Oryctolagus cuniculus: one gene and its partner. The protein of the gene in region 2 purifies or fractionates together with the protein of the main gene of each other region. This does not show direct contact. Links are inferred from orthologs where the notes say so. Each region holds a gene or a part of one and is shown on either strand. Other genes may lie near its edges.

Region 1 (3,646 bases), on a different chromosome or scaffold from region 2:
AGGCAGCTCTAGGCAGTGGCAGCCAAAGCCACAGGCACGGTTGGTAATCAGGTGCTTTGGGGAATTCCCAGAAGTACTGGTGATGGAGCTCTTGGGAAATGCAGCTGAACAGTGGCAGATGCCCTTCCTGGGAGAAAAGCCTGAATCGGGGTAGACTCAACCATGAGGAGGCAACAGCTGGTCTCCAGAACCCTCCACCGGGACTGGGGGAGCTCTGCCCTGCCCGAACCTCTGACGATGGGCCTGCCAGCCAGGTCAGGGCCGTAGGTTGTGCTTCTGCCTCACCCCGCGGCCTGGCCGGGGCGATGTGGTTCTGACACCCAGGCCTCTTCGAGCCTGGCAGAGGGGAGGGCAGGCTGCAACATCGCTGCCTCCACAGGCCCTATCCATAGCCTCCCCTTTCCTCCCCTGGCCCAGGTGCCAAGCTGAAAGCCTCCCTTGTGGCTTGAGGAGCCAAAGAATAAAACTAACACAGCCTATGGAGTGTCCCATGAGGCCGTGGAATGCAGGGACTTAGTTGTAGGAATGAAGTCTCTAAACTGGGTCCCGAGTTGGGCTCGAACCAGTTCCTGTTGGTCCGCTGTCCGGGGTCTGAGCACACTCACAGAGCGCTCTGGCAGGAGGAGAGCTGGTGGCATGGCGGAGGGCCACGGGAGCAGTGCCCTGCGAACCCGCTGAGGAGGCAGACCGCAGGCACCCAGGCTGTTCCAGAGAGGGCTGAGCCAGGCTGCAGCTTGCCCCAGAGCAATCGGTATCACCAAGACGGGGGTGGGGTGGCCACAAGCCCTGCCAACCCCACTTCTGCCTCCAGACTGGAAAATGCCAGGGCCAGGGGAGGGGCTCTCACGTGAGCCTTCGTGGAAGCTGAGGACTGAGGGCTGGCAGTGAGCTAGCCTCAGCCAGGAGGCCTATCCCTCATGAGTACGGCAGGCGGTGGCCCCGCATCAGCAGGGCAGCTTCTGAAGAGACAGCCCTGGTCACCCCTGTCCAGTGCACATTCACACCTGGGAAACTGAAGCGCTGGGAGAGGACGCAGCTGCCGAGGTCACCTGCCCCTCCCCTGCAGCTCTGGGTGAGCCAAGCCCCAGCTGCTTCCCTCCACAAGCAAAGGCAGCAGGAGCCCTCTGGGTGGGTGAGGAGGAGAGCCCACCAGGAGCCCCAAGTGGCGGGAAAGCAAAGCCTAAGAACCCTGGGTAGGGTAGAGCCCCCAGGCAGGGGGGCTTTCCCCCCCCTTCAGGGGGGAAAGAGGCCAACAGAACCACAGGCCTCCAGCTTGGGTTGGTGGCCCGACCAGTCCCACTCGGCTATATCTGGATAGACAGTGTCCCCAGAGAAGCCCAAACAGGAAGAGGACCCCCAAGACCCGAGCAGGCCCAGCTGGGTGAGGCCTCTCTCCTCACCTTTGACAGTCCTGGGTGGCCAGGGCCCACAACGCCCTGGGGCTGTCCCTCCAGCCAGGAAATCTTCAGGGGGTTATCAATAAGGCCCACTTCATTCTGCACAGCCAGCGCCTGCCAAACAGAGCATCCGGTCCTAGTGCCATCATCAAATCAGCCACAGAGCGGCTCCCCCAAGCCCACAGGAAAAACGGAACCAGCATTCTGGTCTTGCGAGCAGAGCCGGCAACCTCAACAGGCTGAAAATGATGGTGTGCTGAAGCTCCAACCCTTCTCGGGACGGGGGAGGCCCTGCTCATCTGGGGGAGCGAGGACCACAAGGCTGGGAAGGCAGTGTGAGGGCCTCCAACCTGGAGAGTGAGGTAGAGGGTGTGGAGCCAGCTGTCCCGAACCTGAAAGTCACTGGGCCTCCCCTTCATCCCGGAGCACTCCCCCAGCTGTGCTAGGGGTCAGGGGCCCCGGGGGAGCCTTGGCTCTGTACAGACCCAGAGATGCCCTGGGAGTGGACAGCCTAACTTGGGGCCCGTGGGATAGGGCTGCTGCCCTAGATGACAAGGCACTCACCGCAGCCTTGACAGTCGCAAACTCCACCACAGCAGTGCCTGCCCTCTTACTGGAAAGCACCAGGTTGAGAACCTCACCATACTGTGGGGACAAAGGGAGCCCAGTAAGCATGGCTCAGCCATTAGCCCAGCCCAGCCCAGGGAGCACACACAGCCCTTGTAGCTGCGGATAACCCCATTGCTGGCCAGAGCAGAAATAGGAAGGTCGCGTTTGTTTTTTTTTTGGTTTGTTTTTTAAGATTTATTTATTTATTTGAAACTCAGACACACAGAAGAAAAGAGAGAGAAAGAGATCTTCCAACTATTGGTTCACTCTCCAGATGTGCAACAGCCAGGGCTGAGCCAGGCCGAAGCCAGGAGCCAGGAACCAGGAGCCAGTGTCATCCAGGTCTCCCATGTGGGTGGCAGGGCTGTCTTCTACTGCTTTCCCCAGGCCACTAGCAGGAAGCTGGACTGGAAGTGGAGCAACTGGGACATGTACCAGTGCTCATATGGGATGCATCGCTGGTGGCAGCTTTACCTGCCATGCCACAATGCCCGCCCAAGGAAAGAGTGTTTTTAAACTCCCTTCCTTCTTTCCTTTCCTTCCTTTCCTTCCTTCCCTTTCTTAAATTTGAGAGACAGGGAGGGAAAGCTTCCTTCCACTGGTCCACTCTAAACGCCACATTGGTTGGGCCAAGTTGAGGCCAAAGCCAGGAACCAGGAGCTCAATCCAGGTCTCCCACCTGAGTGCCAGGGACCCAATTGCTTGAGCCCTCAGCTGCTGCCTCCCAGAGTCCACATTACCAGGAAGCTGGAATCAGGAGCTAGAGCAGTGGACTGAACCAGGTACCCTGACGCGGGGTGCAGGCACCTTAACTGCTACACTGAACACCTGTCCCAGACAGACTTTTTCCTCAAGTAATACAGGACAGCAAAGTAGAGCTAAGGCAAGATTGGCGACCTGGACTGGCGTCCTGGCAATGGATGCCTCAGTGGGCTACAGCAGGGGAAGGGTGGGGGGAGGGCCCTGTGCCAGACACCCCCCACACACACACTCAGCCACGCCCTGTGCTTCTAAGGGAGGTAGGGGCCAGACAGAGGTAGAGGAGAGACACACGTGGCAACACAAGTGAAAGGAAGACCAGGACCTGGGAGAAATCAGCCAAGACAGCCCCGCTCCCAGAAAAAAAAAAAACACACACACACACACACACAGCCGGTAGAGATGTTAAGGAGAGTTCGGGCACAGAGGACCCTGGGGTTGGGCGGAGATGCAGACTGGGGACGGGAAGAAGGGAAGTCACTGGGGCAGACCTTTTGCAAAAGCCGCAGGAGGACATCTTCGGAGTAGCCACCTTGGGACCCGTCCTCCTTGCACTTCCACTTTAGCTGAAAAGACAGCACCATTCAACACCACCCGCGCTGACCAGCACCAGACCCCAGAAGTGAGCAGGCACTTCCTCATCTCCGAGCACCGGTGACCTGGGACGCACCACCCAAACCCGGCTGTCCCCTTGAAAACCAAGAGGCACCCGCTCCAGAGCGCTTCCTGCGCTGTGAGGCGCACCCGCAGAGGGCTCCGGGGTGTGCGGTGCCCTTGCCTTTTGTGGGGAGCTCTGACAGGCAGTCCTGGCCTCCAGCAGCCCCTCGAGCCACGGGAGCCTCTGTTGTTGCTGCGGGGAGGCGGGGCAGGTGGCCCGCAGA
Region 2 (3,646 bases):
ACTGTTGTGGGCATTTAGGGAGCAAACCAGAGGACAGAGGTTTATTTTGGTGTAAAGTATTTTGAAATCCATACATATTTTTTCATAATGTACATGTACCATGAACTTTTAAGATCCCTTATATCAATCTAAGTAATATGATATAATTTACATAAAATAACAGAGGGAATTATAACAAAGTACTAAAATTTGTTATGGTAATGAAGTTAGGTATGAATTTTGATTTTTTTTCAACTAGGCTTTAATATATTTTCTACAATGTGCATATAATTAAATAGCTACATGTTTTTAAAAGGATCCAGGTTTACCCACCCTTTCTCTCATGAGAGCAAGGTGTCCACCTGCAGGGGAGGCAGGCTAACCAATGGGCAAGCAGCAGTGCTGGTGCTCCAGGCTTTACCAACTGGGAGACCCTACAGGGCCTGGCCCCTCAGCTCGGTAAATGGGGTACCAGGGATTCCCCTCGAAGGCAGAATAGCACCTGACACACAACAGACTCTCTGTACGGGGTTCTTGTTGGAATCTGTGGTAACTGGGAGGCACAGGGATAGACAGCCAGGAAGCGGCACGGAGACTGGGGGTCACGGTTGCAGAAACCTGGGAAATCATTCAGCTGGGTCTGTAGCGGAGGCTCGCATGTGCTGACTCCACGTCCAGCCTGAGTTCTCAACCAGGCCTTGCAAATGTGCATGTGCCTAGATCGGGCTGGAGAGTCGCTGGCAGCACACACGGTGAGGGAGAGTCCACTTGTGAGCAGGAGGCCTGGAAGGCCTCTGTACGCATGGGAAACTTGCACTTCTCAGAATCTGTCTCGCTCTAAAGCGTTTATGCTTAAGACAAGCCCCCTGTTCTCCCATTCGCTCCCAGTCACGTTCATCTTACTACTGTTCTGAAGCCACTCAGCCCCTTTTGGTCTGGAGGCCAAAAAGAGGCTCACTTGTAACTATAAAAGGCAGCAAAATGCTCTCCCCAGCAGGACACTGTGATGCGAAGCCACCTCTGAGGCATTCAGGGGAGAGGCACACAGGACTCTGGGGAGGCTGGCAAGACAGTGCCAGGCTGAGCTCACCAAAGGTGTCGGCGTAGATCTTGGCAAAGGAGCCCAGCGTGAAGCAGATGCTGTACTGGGAGCTGGAGAAGCAGACGTTGCCCAGGAGCGGGGAGAGGATCAGGTTCTCGTCAGTGGAATACATGCTGCAACAGACACAGGGTAAGCGTGCCGCAGGCCCTGACCTCTGCCACGGGGGACGGGCAGGGATGCCTACACAGCCACTCGCCAGCCCTCAGGAGGAGCTTGCATAAGACGCTCAGTCTGGCCAACAGCCTGGTCCAAGGAAGTGACATGATGGAGCTGTTCCCTAACTCTCAGTAACAAGCTGGCTTCTCAGAGCCGGGAACGTTCCGCACAACCTTGGAGGAGCTAACCACATCAGACAGACAAGGGCAAATGTGGAGGACAGAGACAAAGACCTTGGAAGACGGGAAATGAATCTAAAGTGATAAGAAATGAATATATTTGAGAGAAATCTCAACTTCACAAACACAAACATAAGAGAAAGAGCGAGAGAGACACAGAGGTAATTTATCCTCTACTCTTCTTTGTCCTGTAGTCTTCGGCTTTCTTTTAAACATGAATGCTAAACCGCAAGCACCTCAAAAGGTCACGAGCATTTGTAAGAAAATCAGCTGTACACAGGGGTCACACCCACAACTCTATCCTAACGGGCACATTATTTTATGGGATCCTCTCACTTGGAAACGAAAGCATTAGCTTATAAAGAACGGCCCCTATCCATCCCACTGCACCCCCCATTCTGCTCCCCAGTGGCAAGCGGCTTCAATCCATTTTATAGCTGCCTGGAGTACTTACCTCCATATCCCTAAATACTGTTTTGCTGCTTTCTGATTTTGAGGTTTCAAACATGCCCTCTTGATTTTCTATCCTGGTAGATCAGGATTTAGTTCCATCCCACCCCCAGCCTTCCTTTTAAAAAGAAGTGCTATTACTTCATCTTTTGGACCCATGACGCTGGGCTGGGCTCCAGCCATTCCCAACCACTCCAGGGATGAGGAGGAGACACTCCCAGTAGGCAGCAGTGCCGCAGGCTGGGGCAGCTGCGGGCAGCGGAGCTGTCACCGGCCCCAGCCGTCAGACAAGCTCCCAGTGGCCGTGTCCTCGCCCACTTAGGGGTCTCAGGAGTCGTTCAGTACATACTTCAGCCTGCAGATAAGACTGGCTTTATTTAATTTCTTGTAACATCCCTCTAGGCAAATATTACCATCATTCCATTTTTTATAGAAATGGAAACTGAGCTTATGTAATTTGCCAGACTCTACAAGAGAGCTTAACTTATTTTCCCTACTTCATGTAGTTGGTACGCAGCTAGGATGAGACCAATCCTAGAGCTCAAGGTATTGCCCATGACAATAAATTAAAGATGCACGAAGGTCACAACTGGCTAAGGCACAGGTACTGAGGTCAAGGTCGTGGAGGCAATCTCTGTAAAGACCTGAGATGCGCCTCCAGTCTTGCCCAACAAGCTCATCCACACACGTCAAGAAGTAAATCAGAGTTGCTCCCAAAGGTATTCAAGGGTAAAATTAAGATTTATAAAAACCAGCGTCCCTGAGGACCGGAAATCCACTCCCAGCAGTTTCATACCTTATTAATCCATTGACCTCATCCACAATGTGGCGCAGCTTGTAATAGGCATCGGTTGGAGGCAGCTTCAGCTCCAGGATCAGCCGGTCAATCTTGTTGATGCACACGGTGACCGCCAGCCTCTCCTGCACCGCGTGCTTGATCAGCCGCTCAGTGTTCAGCATCACCTGAGAAACACAGGCTCTGAAGGTGGTGACACAGCAAAGAGGACAGAAAGTCCAGAGCAGAGCCAAAAGGGCACCGCTTCCAAACATGAAGCAAGAGGGCAAACGAGAACCTGGGGAAACACACTGCTGGGCAGCAGCAGACAGCATCTCGCCAAAGGCAGATGCGGGCACTTTCAGAGGACACCCTGTAGGACTAAGAAATGAATAAACACACTCTCAGTGCTAGAGAAAGGACAAGGCAGGCCAGCAACAACTGTGGTGCTGGATGGGAACTGGGGGATGTTAGGATGGACAAATGATTTTTAAAAAACATTTATGTATACATTTATTTGCTTGTTTTAATTGAAAGGCAGAGGGACTGAGAGAGAGAGAAACAGAGAGCACTTCCATCTACTGATTCCCTTCCCAGATGCCGGCGATAGCCAGGAGCGGAACTCAATCTGAGTCTCCCATGTGGCTGGCAGGGACCCGAGTGCTTGGCCATCACCACTGCCTCCCAGCGTGCACATGCGTAGGTTGTTAAATCAGGAGTGGAGCTAGAACTCAAAGTCAAGCACTCTGAAACAGGTTGCAGGCATCTCAAGCAGTATCTTAACCACATGCCAAATGCCTGCCCGTGGACAAATGATTTTGAATACACACGTGTAGAAATAGTTACATATATCCGTATGCATGTGTGCATGGATATTATCTAGTTGTACTCTGTGAAAGAACCTACAGGCACAGGCAATGTACCCCGGTGGCAATGAGCACACCCAGATACTTGTTTCTAAATACCAGTCTCCATTATAAGAAGTCAGAGCTAGGGCTGTGGCAC

The links. Proteins that work in one complex are often made in the same cells at the same time.
Region 1: the proteins of EFTUD2 (region 2) and DNAJC17 purify together in Homo sapiens (affinity purification with mass spectrometry; 4 studies listed by BioGRID and IntAct, with this or other methods). This does not show direct contact. The link is inferred for Oryctolagus cuniculus from reciprocal best matches to the Homo sapiens genes EFTUD2 and DNAJC17.

Annotation. Positions count from the first base shown.
Region 1 is NC_091443.1:63,918,282-63,921,927, forward strand, and holds part of DNAJC17 (dnaJ homolog subfamily C member 17), read right to left. Parts: intron 3,332-3,646; coding exon 3,257-3,331; intron 2,043-3,256; coding exon 1,962-2,042; intron 1,512-1,961; coding exon 1,401-1,511; intron 1-1,400. UniProt on the Homo sapiens protein: May negatively affect PAX8-induced thyroglobulin/TG transcription.
Region 2 is NC_091448.1:18,115,023-18,118,668, forward strand, and holds part of EFTUD2 (116 kDa U5 small nuclear ribonucleoprotein component), read right to left. Parts: intron 2,830-3,646; coding exon 2,663-2,829; intron 1,195-2,662; coding exon 1,070-1,194; intron 1-1,069. UniProt on the Homo sapiens protein: Required for pre-mRNA splicing as component of the spliceosome, including pre-catalytic, catalytic and post-catalytic spliceosomal complexes. Component of the U5 snRNP and the U4/U6-U5 tri-snRNP complex, a building block of the spliceosome.